Linked DNA regions of Stegostoma tigrinum. The protein of the gene in region 1 interacts with the protein of each later gene in a biochemical or structural test. Links are inferred from orthologs where the notes say so. Each region holds a gene or a part of one and is shown in the gene's direction. Other genes may lie near its edges. The genes, in order: myb and nlk2.

Region 1 (8,406 bases):
AGTTTTAGTAGATTTGCTGTTCAAAAGCAAGAAATTAAAACCATAAGCGCATAAGAAATAGAAACAGGAGTCAGCCATTCAACCTGTAGAGTCTGCTCCACCATTCAGTTGGGTTATGGCTAATTGACATTCCTCACTTCTACCTTCCTGCCCTTTCCCTGTATCACTTGATTCCCTGACTGGTCAAGCCTATCTCAGACTTAAACATACACAAGGACTCTGTTTCCACAGCTCTTTGAGGCAAGGAATTCTAAAGAAATTTCTTCTTACCTCAGTATTACATTGGCACCCCTTAATGCTGAGACAATGTCCTCTGATCGTAGACTCTCTTATGAGGGGAAACAGACTCTCAGGATTTATCCTGTTCAATTTATCATATTTGACAAATCAGATATGAACATCAAATTTGCCACTATTTTATTCCTGTGTATACTATTTTAAATTAGGTGTAAAAGCCTTCATTTTAAACAGGAAAACACTAGTTTATAAAGGCCACTAATGAAAACTGTATGAACATGTCAAATAAACTTTGTCAATCAAAATTTATACCCTTATCAATTCAGCAGGTATAATTGCTAACCTACTTGGACAAAAGGGCAGGTTGAACACTATGATGAAGAAAAAAAATTTAAATGTTGTGACGAGAATCTACTAGTTGGTAAGCTAAGGGTTAAGTGGCCTTCCTTATGTTTCAATCTTGTGTTCACTTAGCTATTACACTTAAACATTACACAGAAACACGACACACAAACTGACTAGTTGGCACAACCAGTTCATGATGGTATTTATGTTTTGTGCAAGATTTATTGATCAGCTACTAGTTTTATTTTGAAGAAAGAACTTGGAAAGATAAAATGTAATTCTCCGAGAATAAAAAAGTGCATCTTTTTAGCTGAAAATTTTTCAACAATAACCTTTGTATCGTATAGAAAACAAATTATATAAAGCTCTACCAGGAAAATATCTATATTATTGGTATGTAAAGGTGCTAACTACAATTGTGATAAGTTCTTCATATATTTTTCACGATAAAGGAAACATCAAGAACAGCAGTAGCAGTTCACATTTGAAAGCAGGTCTCCTAATTTTTGTAATATAACAGGGTGGGGAAGAGAATTTTCCAGCAAGGACAACAGCTGCTTTCCTTATCAAAGCAAACTCTTAACAAAAATGGCAAAGTTGGCAGCACCGGTGATGTTCCATATTTCTAAACTGCCAGACCATCCTTTATCCAACTTATTATTTATTTTCCCTCTGACGGCCGAAAGTCGAGAGATGCTTTCCAGGTCAAGGGTCTGGACTCACGTTTAGCGTGGCTGAATGGAAAGCAAAAACAGGCACCACGGTCGAAGCGAGCAAAAGGCGCCAGCCTGGAGGCGCACGTGGTCCGGCGAGCCGCGGCGCACCGTACAGGTGAGCGGACCCGGGCGCGCCACCACAGCCAAGGCGACGGTCATCCGCAGTCATCGGCCATGCACGCTGTCCGCACTCCAATGCATGCATCCGAGATCCAGCCAACTGTTGACACGGCCTCCCACGCACAGGTTTCCCTCTCACCAGTTAACTCCCCCACCCCAGCCTGTGCTGGCGGGCGCAGCAGCGGCACGTGCCGTGGGCGGGCGCGAGGGCGTTCCCGGGGAAGAACCCGCCGCAATTTGAATCGAGAGGATTCCAGACGTGGAGAAGATTTTGTGAATAGGACCAGTGTGTGTGTATGGTTTGTGTGTATGTAGAGTCAGAACAACAAAACATAATAACCAGCCAATTCTTGAGGGCGCAGAGAGAGACGACAGTGTTCTTTTTATTATTTTTCCTTGTTATTTGATATAAATTCTCATACCAACTCTTCCATCCCCAACCCCCCCCCCCACCCGAACACTACCACCAACCAGCCTCTTTCAGAGGAACGACAACTCTCCTCCCTGCTCGCCCAGCAGCACCCCATCCATCCAACTGCGGGTGAGCGGATTGCCTGCGGCCAGCCCAATGGACACCTCCTTCGGGTACGTGTGAAATCGACAGGAGCGCGACCGTTAGCGGCATCACGTGGCCACGGAGCAGGGTGAGGGCGAGGGGCGGCGTTCCGCCCTTTCCCGGTTCATCGCGAACGGGCAGGTGGGACGGGAGCTGTTAGGGGCTGTTTTAAAAACAAATGCTCTTTCTCCTCCCCTCACCCCTTCCCGGCGACTCCGCGGTATCTCTGGGAAAGGGGGGGGGGCGCGATGTGGGTGTGACAGGTGCTGGGGCAAAGTGTCACCTTCGAAGCCTTCAGTCACCTGGGGTGGGGGGGGGGGGGAATGCAAGAGGCAGTCAGGTGGGCGGTGGATTTTGAAGTTTTCTAAAAATGTTGAGATTGATTCCGGTCAGATTAAGCGGTTGAGGTTTGTTGTTGTGTTATTTTTTCTGATATCCCCTGGTGGGTGTGATGAGGAAATTGTTGGCATCCCAGTGTCCGTGCGGATCTTTACTTACCTGCAGCTCCTCAACATGGGCCAGGTGCAGACACTCACCTGCACTCAAACCGAAAACAAAACAGGAATTATTGCCTTTTCAATAATTAAATGTTGGAAACCACTCAGCAGGCCAGGCACCACCATCTGTCCAAGAGAGAGGGAAATGAGCAAGAGTTAACTTCAGCTTCGCCACTTGTTTCTTTTACCAGGACCTGCAAGGAAATGAGAGATGCAGCAGTACTTTGGCCGATGATACACACCAACTTGCCCATTAGACCCATCGCTATTTTTGACAAGGAACTCCAACATTTTAGTGACCTTCGCTCTTGCAGTATTGCTTGTCGAGTGTGTCACCACCATTTTTTGATACCAAGTCCTGTTATTGCAATCCATTCTGGAAAAAAAAAGTCAAAAACAATGTGACACTGCAACTGGTCACAGTGGTTACATTGTCTGTACATCTAATTTATTTTAAAAATTATAAAATTTGGATATAATTTTTTTTTTCAAGAGTCCTTTTGCCTAAAAGACATAGCTCGGGAAACCTAAGGGGGTGGGTTACAAGAAAGGTGCATCAACTGACGAAAATGCAGAATAACCAGATTGTTTGTTTATTCAGGTAAAGGTAAGATGCCGAAAGCTGAAGAAAAAAAAAGTCGAGGGTAAATATCACCAATAATCAAAAAGAGTAGTGGGGTATTTTGGCATAAAAGAGTAATGAAAAGCACAAGGGGAAAGCAGTGGTAACGGAAATGAGGAAACTAATCTACAAAAAAGAGGAAGAAAGATGACAAACTGATGGCATGAAATACAAGTTTAAAAATTAGCACGAACAAACAACATAGGGAGGGTGGTGGCGAGCATAGTGCCCATCAAATTATTAAAAATGCAAACGGTGGTTGAAATTCCGGGGATCTTCCAAGCAAAAACCTGGTGTGAGGATTTTTGTTTCATTCTGATACAATTGTTGCTAATAACTAAAACATGTAGCAAGTTTAGGCACTTTGCAAAAACAAGCGAGTGCAACCGGTTGCTATAAAATTGGAAATAGGAAACGATTGCGGAAGATATTCCAATTGACCAGGTTTGGCAGCGCTGAGGCATCTGCATTGGAAGTAACAAAAATGCGAACTCGAAAAGATATTTGCCATAATCATAGGGGTGAAAAAGGGATCTTGTGTGAATTTTGGCAGAAATAATTTGCTTGAATGGATCTAAATTAATCAAAAATGTACAATTCCTGATAATTAAAACTAATGCGAATCCAAATGAATTTGGCTATAAACACGAAGCAAATTACAGACCTCGCTATATTTTGTTTACTTAAACATTAAGCAATAGAACGTTAATCATGCAGATAAGTATAGGGAGAAAACACTTGGGAATTGTATTTATTTAAGGGCATTGTTGTTTTCATTTGGCATTTCCTTTGATCTGAAGTTCGTGAGCACTCTGCAGTCGGTCTATAAACGTGAATCTAAAACCTTGTGCTGAAGCAGCACCAACTGCCTTATAGGTTTATTGTCCCGTTGTATTACACACGTGTCAGGAGTGTGCAGGAAAGAGGAAGTATATTACAGTGATCCAAAATTCCAAATTACTTTTGCTAAACTTAAACATCTGTTGGCGATACATCCAAAAAATTTTATTGTTTCAACGTAAATGATATTTAAATTGTAATGATTAGCGAAACATAATCTAGAATATGCTTCGGTTGACAACTTTTAATCTATGAGTTTGAATACACTTTATATCTACCGCACGAAAATAGTCACCTTGTCATAAATTTTGGAATATTCAAAGAGGAACGGGCACATTTGCTTTGCTGTTTTGTTTTAATACTGATACGTTTACGAACAAAGGACCCTCATTTCTCCATATTTAGGTTTCATTGCAAAACTGCAGGTTGCGCCATCTATGGAAAAAGCTCTCAAACTTTTTGTTCAGTTCAAAAAAAGTCATCTAGTCGCGTGAAAAAAGTAACTTGCCTTTCTGTAGGTATGTGTTCTTAAAATGATGTTTTTCCAGTCAAGTTTTCTATTGACTTCTAAGAAACGGTAACTAGGATATAACCTGCCCCTCGTTTTCCCAATTTGTCACTCCAGCAGCATTTCACTAATCATCTAAATGTTGAACAAATTTACTTGGTTGCAACCACCTTGCGTGTGACTTTCTGCGGGAGAAACTGATTGTTTTAGAAGCAATATGGTAATTGTGTAGTTTAGCAACAGGGAACCCCGGGACTGGATTCTCCCAGAGAGCTGACAGATGAAGAACAAAAGCACATTATCTCTAGTTGTTTACTTTGCAAAACTCCTGGTTGGAAGAGATGGAGGCGGGGTAGTACCGGACTAAGCGGGGATTGCAGGAAAAAGGCGGGTTTCACGGAGGACCGCCAAGGTCAGCAGTGCGCCTGCGTATTGCCCTGTCTTTGGTTTGGGCGGGAGATTTGGCGGGAGGGGAGGGTCCAGGGCTTTGTTTGTAGGAATCTGTGTTTACAGATCGTACACTTTAATCTCAATTTGCTTCCTCCTCGTGTGAGTTTGGCTGATCACTTGCAGCGACACTTCTTCCGCACTCTGAGAGGCTCATGGCTCGGCGGCCACGGAATAGGTAACTGTATTATACGTTTTGGTTGCTGCCTAATGAACAAAACATAGATTATTGCAGGAAGAGGAAGAACTTTCACTTTAATTTTATGAGGTTTGCACGCTGAGAGATGACTTGTTAAGCAGAGTGAGACGCTGTGTTCAGTTCCAATACTTAATGCAGCTAAATTGTGAATGGTTCGAATCTTTGAACAGTATGCTGACTTTCTGCAGCAAGCTTTCCAACTGTAATTGAAAAACTTGTTAAAATGGAAATTATATATAGCTTGTCTGTTTAGTATTTCAAGTTATGTGGACACGTTGTAGGATAAGCAAATTTAAAAGGTGCAGAACTTCCATTCATGCGCGCAAGTTCTAAGTGACAAATGACAACAACACTTGTTTACTGTTAAATCGAGAAGAACAATACAATCTTGCAAAATTGATACACAGGTTGAAGATGCACCTTTTAAACGGTATGTTTCAATGTGTCGCCGTAAAATATTGCAGCAGCAATAATAATATTTCTCATCTTGCACCACGTTGTTCATATAGGAAATAGTTGACTGTACGTGTTTATATGTTAGCATTGTAGTTTCTCAGTTGCAACATCCACTGAACCCCGCACGAGTGAGGCATGTTCTAGTTAAGTATGTTATTGACGTAGCGGAATGCTTTCATGCATGAAAAGAAAATAAGTGCATCCAAGACAAGTCAATGAACTACATCATAATTTTATTGTTAGTGCAAGAGCTGGCGGAGTGACACGTGGATTTTAAAATTATTGCAAGCTGTCTGAAACTACCGGACACGAGATCGTGATCCTAATTTTTCGACATAATAAGGTGGTTTCTGGTTGTGTCATGATAAACTGAATTTGGCGAAGGCTGTGATCCAAGTTGTCAAAATTATTGTACGTAGTAACAGTGGCAGAAATTGCTTGGAGCGTTTTCTCCTTTTTGGCTATTCATGCGTGACTAATGTTTGTGGTCTGAGGAAACTGACTGCATCAGAATCATTATCGTCGGTAAAATGTGAATGAAATGGGGAACAATGACACTTACCCCGAGTATGCACTACCAGAAACCATGCAAGTCCTTTTGCACGATGAACGTGTGGAAATTCCATACTGGCCGATTCACTTTATTAATAGAAACTACTCGGCTCATTTCAAAATTTCAGGACTACCAACCAATCCACGGAGTTATGGCATTACTGGAACTTTATTTTTTAATTTATTATAACTAGTGGAATTTTTGTTTCGTCCATGTGCAAGAGTGATTATGAATTTGACGAGTGAGAGACAAGGGCTCAAGTTATTACACTTTAACTCATGACCTGCCGGTGAATAGTTTGCTCGCATTTATGGGTCACTAACAAAACTATATAAAATCTCACTGCTGAATGTTGGGCCGTCATGATCGCGATACTATGAACTCGGCGATATGCATTCGACGTTTAAAAAGTTTGTCTCTTTATTCGGTTTTCACAACGGATTAGTTTGGTATTTTTTCGGTAATGATTCCCAGTAGGAATGGTTGAATAAAACCATCAATTTATAGCTGATTTCCCCATTAGTGTGTTGAGTTTTAAATACGTAATTTAGTAGGCGAATGACACTTCAGTTTTTGAAGATCGTTTACTGTCTGCTTGTAGACCAAATGAATGATGTAACCTCAAGCACTTGATCAGGAAAATAGGACTTCATAAGAGCATCTCAACTACAACAATGTAAATTCCTTTGTTCGCCTGGGGTGAAATGCCAATATTTGCTAAATTTTCAAAAAAAAACGTTTTGCGCTGTGAATGTATTTCTGCTAAGTTTGGGTTAAAACTATCCTGACAGCCAACAGGAAGAGAAATTCCTTCCTTTAATTTGGATTAGGAGCGGCAAATATTTCAGTCTCTGTCAAAGTTGTTTTTATTTGCTGCACATCTGTGTTGAGTTTAAATTGTTCAAATACATTTCTAGAAAGAGTAAAGAAAGTACTTTTGCAAGCAATAAGTTATATTAGGTTGTGTACTTAAATTGCGATAAAGACCTGCTCTGTCAGGGATTAGGGAAAATTATGGCAGGGCCTGAGATTCTTGGTGTTAAAATTTAGGTGATACCAAACAAGAATCAATGAATTGATATTTGAGACATGATATCCCACCGACTGTTTATTGGGGAAATTTGTCAGTTCTTGCTAAAACCACTAGATGGGGTGTTGTGTAAAGAGAGGGGGAAAAAAACAGGTTTGAATTATGCACCTGCTAGAATAATGCCTCCTGCAGACTGAATTTCGAATGGGCGTAGTGAAGTAAATCCAACTAACAGTTGAGACAATGGGAAATGGAGTTTACGAAAAATATGTGCTCCGCTTGTTTTTAAAGTGAATTGAATAACTGACTAAAATATTGTTTTGTCTGTAAATAATAATTCAACCTGTTTGGTTGATTGATACATAAAATTTCTTAACTGTTCTAATACACAATAACCTCTAAGTTTTGAAGCAAAATAATGCATTTAAAACTTTTGTTTAATTTTTTTGTTCAAAGCGGACACCTGAGCTAATGCCGCCTCTTCTTTAGTTTTCCCATGGCATGCATTATACCAATCCACCTCCCATCCAGTTTTGGTCTGAATCTGCCCACTGGGTGCACAAATGAGCAGTGACTGCTTCCTTTAGTTTGCATCCCTTTTTGAAAGAATGTCCTAGACTATTAATTTTTGCTTTCCACTCATGGCAGTATTGAGTCCTGCAATTAGAATTTAGACTATCATTGGATGCAAGTTTGCAGCAGTCGCTTAAGATGTTTGGGGTGTTACCACTGATCAGACTCATTAACAATACGAATACAAGAATAATTCTGAGATTAGGTTTGTCTACTTCCTTTTCCTTGTGTTGTTAATCCATTTCTGGGATAGGGATTAGGAAGAGTTGCTCAAGTCCATTTTTCATACAAACCTTTACAGTGTACTTGACAGACTATTTAATAATAGAGTATCATCTTTAAGCCCAATTGTGTCCTCATCTGATACCCATACACACATCTACAGTAATTATTTGCAGTCAAGAGTGAGATCTTTGTCCAGTTATCATGTAAAAAGCCATGGCTCAACTTTGATCCTTTTGCTGCATCAGCCAAGGCCAGTTAACACATGCTAAATAGTAGAATGGTAACATGCTTGGTTTGTATGCTTCAGTTGAGCATGAGATAAACCATTTGGCCGGGGTGGGGGGAACACAAGCAGAGTTTTACTATAATAAATTAACTTTTGAATGTCTTACAAATGTCTACTGCAGAAAGAATTTGTAACAAATCTTTATTTGGACTGACATTTCAAAGTGGACAAAAATCTCAAGTCACCTGCAATTAAA
Region 2 (7,677 bases), on another chromosome or scaffold:
AGCAAATTAGTTGAATATGATGTGCCTTTCATGAATCCATGCTGTGCCTGCCTCATTGGACAATTTCTATCCAGATGTCTCGCTATTTCTTCCTCAAAGATACATTCAAGCATTTTCCCCACTACAGAAGTTAAGCTAACAGACCTATAGTTACCCACCTTTTGTCTACCTCCTTTCTTATATAGTGGTCTCACATTTGCTGTTTTCCAATCTGGATGGTACACTATAGATACAAAAACATGATAAAGGGAACAGGAAAACGATTTGACAACACTTCCTGAGTAGGTGGATCAAGAATCACAATATTGAGTCTTAAATTAGGATATAACCTGTGAAACAAATGAGATTTATTCGTGGAAAATGATAATATCCTTATCATCCAATGTAAGATATCATGGAATGGTAGCATTCTAGCAGAGAGTATTGATTCCTACTTGATAATAATGTTGAGGTTTGTAATACTTTCTGTGGCTACCCAGAGAGACAATTTTTTTGATACTGCATGCTACACCTTGGTTGCCAAATTGAATGACATGCTTCATTTAATTTATTTCATAGAGATGTGAATGTAGGATATCAGTTTGTCACTCTGAACTGAGAGTAAATCTGAATGAATATGAGTAAAGAAGATAAAACAGTGTGAATACTACCTGGAGCTGTAATCAATGTTCTGTAAAAAAAAGTTTGAAAACTAATGCCATTTTCAAATAGTAACATTGCTTAAACTCTTTCAGGAATTTGGGTAGAGGATTAATTTGATGTGAAACTACTCTGTTGTGTTGAACAGCAGAGATGGTTCTTCCCCAATGCAACTAGAAGGTACCAACAATAATTCTTCCAATTTACCACCAGTCTGTTAAGAACTGACCAACTTAATTCAGCCTAGATTTATTTTTCTAAAAGAATTTCCTGTAAATGCCATATATTGTAAAATTACTGCTGACAATTGTATCTCAATTTTTTTGGAAGAATTATTTATTTAACAAATCTGTGCTGAATTAGGAAGTTAACATATCTGTCTAATAATTGTATGGCTATCTGCAGAAAAAAACAGGTAGCTCACTTAATTTTTAACATTACTGTTTGTGTTTTGTTGTTCCAAATTAATAGCTTAAGCATCACCATGGATTTGCAGTCAGTTGAGCATCAATAGCTATACCTATTCACCAGCTTGATTTTCTTTTATAAAGAATCGCATGCCTAAGTAATGCTTATTTTTGTGTCAACTCATTGACTTCGGAAATAACAGATTTTTTTGTGAATTTAATATGTAGTCTGTCTCATTATTACGTTGATCATTTTCAAAAGCCAAGTTTCTATCCTTAAATTATAGGTGCCATATCTTACAAACCGGTTTTGTTTCTTCAATAAATTGACAAATATTTTTTATGAAAACCTATTTTTCCTTCCCTTGCTTCAAAAATTAACACCATGACAGGTCATTATCTCCTCTCTAAACAGGAAAAAAATGACAGTGATCTGGAGGATCCCTTCAGTGGCTTTTCCCCCATTGAAATCTAAAAGCCTACCCTCACCCTCTGAGCAAATCACTTAGTATAATCAGATCCACACATTGCTCTCTGCAATTAGGAAGTACATTACACTAAGTGCCACCTTTCAAACTTCTCACATTTAGCAGATGCTTCTTGCAAATGTTTTGTTGCCAAATGATCTTGTGGTGTATGTTCAGTTCTTAATCGCAGAGCTACCCCCAGTGTTTGGAATAAAGATGCAAATTGTTTCCTTTTGTAAAAGCAGTTGTGCAGGCAGATATTATATTAGATTTTACCAAATGCCTGACACCACTATATAAATTTATTTCAAACTTTAGATTTTGTATTAAGTCAACAACTATTTTGTCTTTGAAAGGGAGCATCCTAAAGTGTGCACACATTTAAACAAACAAATATATTTTATTAGAAGTCTTCAAAATTCAGCAGTAGGATGGTGGTACACAATCTGTATCATTCAGGTCTGAACAGTTGGGCTCAAATAACTTTGGATGGCTGGGTGCTTCATCAATAATTGCCAAAGCTAATATTCACTGATGACCTCTTCTGGCCACCTATCCTAGCTTTGCAACTTAATATTCTAATGGTGTATGTATCTTCAGGATGAAACAATTGGATTGAATAGAATGAAACATAAATGCATAACAGAATGATTAGTGATTAAAAAAGCATAACTGGTATTCAAGTACAACTTACCTCACACTTCCCAGGTTAATAAAGAAAATTTATAATATAAGAACTTTACTAACTGACATAATTTAGGGAACCAGTTATCACCGTCGTGAGGAGCTGTCACACAAAGAAAAATAATTTATATTTGTAAGTAGTTTTTACATCATTTTCACAAACTCCCATTTTAGAATTGATGTATCAATCAAAGCACAATGATTGTTATGATGGTAAATTGGTTCCATATGTCACAGGATGGTGGAGGGTGGGGGGGGCGCGGGTGGGGGGTGGTGGAAACAGCCAAATTCCATTTACTTTTGTTTCCCTTATTAAAGGGACACTGCTTTCACAATGCAGTGTTTAGCAAACCAGTACACCCATTTTTATCATGATAGTGTTGTGTCCAAGTGACAATTTGCACTTTCCTGAAGAGATAGAAAAAGTTTTGTCAAACGCTTTTTAGTTGGATATGTTGTCATTATGAGATGACAGTTAGTAACTCTACGACACTGATCATCCTTCTTATTTATTATGAATGTAAGGTATCATTCATCAAAGAATTATATTTCTTTGTGTACTCAGATCACAATGTAACCCATTTTCTATTGCTGCAAGATCTTACTGAAAGGAAAATTGCTTTTGCAATAATGTATTGACAACAGACATGCTTCTTTGGAAATTTTCATCTTGAAAGTGTAGTATTCAAAATTTTGTCTGTACTGAGTATAATGTCTGATACAAGTGGGACCTTATTCCGGCCTTCAGTTTCAAAAGGTAATTTTTCATTGATGTAACAATAAGTGGAAAAAAAAACTGAATTTTAACCATTTCTTTCCAACTAAATTATCACGAGAGATTTTAAACTGTGTCTGTGGATTATACAATTGAGATTACTACACAGTTGAGAAATAAATAGGGTAAAGTTCTTAATTTTGCATTTTGCCACAATTATAAATGTGGTGGTAATACAATTAGCAATCTAACAAATTCAAAAGCACACATTAACTTACAAAAGCAAGTCTCTCCTATGATGCTGATGTGGCTGTCATTTTGCATGAAGACATGCTGAACATTACAAATACATGTTTCTGCCCATCTGTATCCTGACCCACTTTTCCCAGGCCATACATGGTACAGTAACATATGCAAGTGGGCAGCTGACCTGGAAACTGAGCTAAGTAGAACTGTGTCGATTAGGTAACCAATGTCTCTCTTCAATAGTTATTAAAAATCAGTCTCAAGTAACTAAGCATTAAAACACAGATTTTGCTTAATTCAAAATATAACTTTTGGCATTATTACAAGTGAGAGGTTAGAAATGGCTCAAGTTATCACAGTTTTCAATATTACCATATTCGACCTTCATGGTAAACTAAAGAGAACTGGAGATAATCTATCTGCACAGGACTTATTACATTATTTCATGCATTATACAGAAAGGGTGCTTAACAGGTGAACTTTTAAAAACACAGTTAAAAGTTTATTTTTGAATTCCATTGTGAGGGGTAGGTAGCATATTCTCTTGAACGGTTTAAAGCCCCAGGATAAGATACACTAGCGCTCTGTGTGATTCTCTCAATTAACCAGTTGGGGTCCCATCAATACAAGAGTTGACCTCTTTCTGGCATCGCTGCGCTTTGTGGGAGAAGATGTAGATCACGTGTCCTTTGTGTTCGCTCAACGAAACTTGCTTGCAGTACGGGGCGACCCGCCCTTGCAGCACGCTCGGCACCTGGACGCAGCAGTTCCGTGGTGCAAGCGTGCATTTCCATTCGACAGAGATGGTGTCAATCAAGCAGCGGTCGGGGATGGTCTGTGGAGCAGGCGGGCTAAGCTCCAGACGATCATGTTGGGATGCGCGCGGCTGGGCTTCCGAGCGAGAGGGGAGGGAGTATTCAGTGCGGGGGGGGGGTGGGACTCCTCGGCTTTCGAGGGTTTCGTGTTTAGTTGCTCTCTTCTTGGTGTCTTTGGGGGGGGGGGGGTGGGGGGACAAATTTTATTTTTTTATATATTTAAAGAAAAGCCAAAAATAAGCTTTACAATGCTTCCGATGATGTTTGCCGAGGAAAACTGAAGGAGTTTCCCCTCAGAAAAAATGTGTGCGAAGTGAAAGCCAAAGTCTTTTTGAAGAATTTTTTTTTCCTCTCTCTCCGAGGAGTTGAAAATCCGGATTATTGAATTTCCTGAGGAAAGCCGGGTGTGGAATTTGCTGGAAGATGGTTTAGCAAGGACGGAGCGAGGAGAGTGCGGCCGAGGCGGAGCTCGAGCGGCGAGGCGGCGGCGGCCGGTGGAGCGCGGGCTGGGCGCGCGGTACGGCCGTTGGTCATGGCGCTGTGCGGCACCACGGCGGCGGCGGCGAGCCAGCAGCAGCGCCAAAGCGTCGCCAAGCTGATGGCTTATAACGGCGCCGGGGCCGCCCATCATCATCACCACCACCACCATCACCACCACCACCATCACAACAACCATCATCACCACAACAACAGCGGCAGCAGCAGCAGCAACAGCCATCACCAACATCCACCGCCGCCGCCGCCGCCACCACATCATCACCACCATCAAATACACACCGGGGCTACTGCCACCGCCGCTGCCGCTGCGACTGGCGGCGGCGGTGGTGGTGGTGTCGCTGCTGCCGGAGGAGGTGGCGGTATCGGCACGGCGGTACACCCGGTCCAGCATCACCATCACCCGGCCGCCGCCGCCGCTGCTGCCGCTGCCGCCGCCGTCGCCGCTAGCTCGGCCGCCGTCTCGTCGTCCTCATCCTCTTCATCGTCGTCGTCTGCCGCCGCCTCAGCCGCCGCCACGGCGGCAGCAGCGGCGGCGGCGGCGGCGATGCTGAACACAGGCCAGGCGCCGTATTTCCCGTCCCCAGCGCCGGCCGCCGCCGCCGCCTCGGTGCAGATTCACGCCGCCGCCGCGGCCGCTGCCAAGGCACATCAGCTGGATATCGAGCCCGACAGACCCATCGGATATGGAGCCTTCGGAGTAGTCTGGTAGGTTTCCTGAGCAAGACTTGTTGGCCAAGCGTTTTAACAGGTTGAAAATAATATTTTCAAATAATAAGTTTTTCAGCAAAGTCGCAATTTTTTGCCAATTACTTTTACTTCAGATAAACAGCTTATCAACTTTGTGGAGTTTGGGTGTTTCCTCAAATGCGCTGACAATGTTGAACTTGTAGGGAGTTTCAAAATGTTTTGCTTCCCCAAATGTCTGTGGGTTAGGTGAGCTCGGTTCTCATAGGGCGTACTGCACCGTCAATAATCTAAATGTTTTATGAAGTGACATTGCTTGGCGGGTGGCGGAAATTAGTCTTCATTATTTGGTTGTGTTTTCGTGCTGCACGAAAGATGCTTTTGTCACTAAGATGCTTTTTTTAAAAGCTTCCTGCAAGACACGAATCAGAGAGGCAGCTTGGTCAGATTTCCGTTTCATCCTTGAGTTATTATAAGATCTCTTGACGCCCAACTGATAGGAGACTACTTATTCTTTACATTTAAAAAACCTGAAAAGAAAGATAGCTGTATGACGCCCCCCCTCCCCAACAACATTTAGTAGTTATCTGTGTAAATCTTGTTCCTTTTGCGATGGTAAATTGCCGAAAACAAATTATATTTTCCACTTATTTGGAAAAAATGCTGAAGAAGAATAGTGTTAAAAATTGACTTGGAATTTTTTAAAGGTCTTTCTTCACGTTAGGTGGTAATTTAGTTGTCGCCAAAGTGGTTGGTTTGACGCACTGCACTTTTTAGGCAAAGATACGTATAATTTGCTATTCTATAACTGATAATGATGTTTTTAGTTTGAAGGAACAAATCCATTACTGTGTATGTGTAATCATTCCTCCATTCCCTTCAGGAGTAAGGGTGAAATTACTGTTCAGTTATTTTTTTCTTTTTTAAAAAACTTGCTGTCCTAATTAATATCCTTCAAGTTTTTGAGTTTACAGAATTTCAAAAAGTCAATGCAGTTCCATGATGCTGGGAATTATTTTTGTAATGGCAGCAATAGTTCATACAGAACGCTATTCCTTACGCATGCTAACCAGCTAGTACTCGTGCAGATTGGGTTAATAGTTTGTAGAAGTGTTGAAATGCAGTAATTCAACCGATGGCATAAATTGCCAGCTGGTGTATTTTTATGATTGTCACTAAACCCTGTACCTGGAGAGATTATTTTAAATTCCTGTTCTTATTCATATCTGTTAATTATTTTTTCCCTAAAACATTAAATACAGCAGTGTGATCACGTTATGAATCATTTTGCTGACCTTTTTGTTCATTTGAGGAAATTTACTTTATACTTAGATGATATGGTTTGGCTTTGCTAGAAAGCCAAAATTTTGTATTCAAGGAATTTTAACTCAAAATGGTTAAATCCCAGCCCTAATTTAAAATGCCTTGAACTACAATGAAATGTTAAATTTTTTTGGATGGATTGTATTTGACTTCATAAGTTTCTTTTTACGGTGGCAAATATAACTTACTAGGTTAATAGAATAACTAGATGTCAATGACTTTGAGTTCTTTTTTAAAGTGCAAACAAATTGAAAAGATGGAAAATGAAGCTTGATGGTCAGTGGCCAACTCCCGTTTGTTCTTGTGAATAATTTAGATAAACATTCTGTTTTGTTCATGCAAATCTGGAAAATGCAGTAAAAACAAAAGGTGATGGGATCTGGGGAAAATTGCTTGTGAAATGATAACATGTAAGGAAGTTTGAGAGGATATCTAATGATGTTGCACTAAGTGCAGTTGTAGTTTTATATGGTTGATTGCTGAATGTGAAATTTTGTACTGCAAGGCAGTGAAATTTCACCCTACCCAAGTGTTAATTTTTACTACATTAGTCTTCTAAGATTACAAAAAATGTTTGTTTGATATTTTAGACAATTTTCAACATGTCGTCTTTTGGCTTAATACTGCCCATCAATTGGAATAAAGTTCTTCCAACACATTAACATTTGTAGTTCTTGATCCATCAGCCTTAAAGTAAATCGCAACCTTCTGCATTCAATTTTGCATTGCTTGCTGCATAAATATATTTTAAATCATATTTTTGGGCTATCCTGATGTCTGATAGCTAAGCATTGCAACAAGTAATGCAGTGTAAGCAGGAAGACTTAATTTCTGGCTTGTCTTGTTGCAGCTGAGACAAATTGTAGTTGGTTTTAGTGCTTGAGGGGAAATATCAGTGTTTACTCAATTAATCTTGCCAGACACTACTTGCATTAACTTTGACTAAAGAGAAAAAGGACAGGTTGTTTTGACCCATCTTTAAAATTGTATTTTTGTTCACTTATTTCACTGAAGATTTGAGTATCAGTGGATTCTTGAGAGTGGTGTCCCAGCCTAAGTTGGTTATTTAGCAAGACTACAGAAATCATAACAATTACACAGCACACAAATGGACTATTCAATCTTTTTCCACAAAGTCCAGAATTTAGTGCTGTCCTGCTGCATATTCTCCTATTTTTTCTGATTTCAAGCAGCGATCT

The links.
Region 2: of the proteins of myb (region 1) and nlk2, one has a biochemical effect on the other in vitro, tested with the Homo sapiens proteins (2 studies listed by BioGRID, with this or other methods). The link is inferred for Stegostoma tigrinum from reciprocal best matches to the Homo sapiens genes MYB and NLK.

Annotation. Positions count from the first base shown.
Region 1 is NC_081357.1:43,587,213-43,595,618, forward strand, and holds the start of myb (transcriptional activator Myb), read left to right. Parts: upstream 1-4,951; 5' UTR 4,952-5,043; coding exon 5,044-5,066; intron 5,067-8,406. UniProt on the Homo sapiens protein: Transcriptional activator; DNA-binding protein that specifically recognize the sequence 5'-YAAC[GT]G-3'. Plays an important role in the control of proliferation and differentiation of hematopoietic progenitor cells.
Region 2 is NC_081380.1:37,046,476-37,054,152, reverse strand, and holds the start of nlk2 (serine/threonine-protein kinase NLK), read left to right. Parts: upstream 1-4,172; 5' UTR 4,173-4,505; coding exon 4,506-5,176; intron 5,177-7,677. UniProt on the Homo sapiens protein: Serine/threonine-protein kinase that regulates a number of transcription factors with key roles in cell fate determination. Positive effector of the non-canonical Wnt signaling pathway, acting downstream of WNT5A, MAP3K7/TAK1 and HIPK2.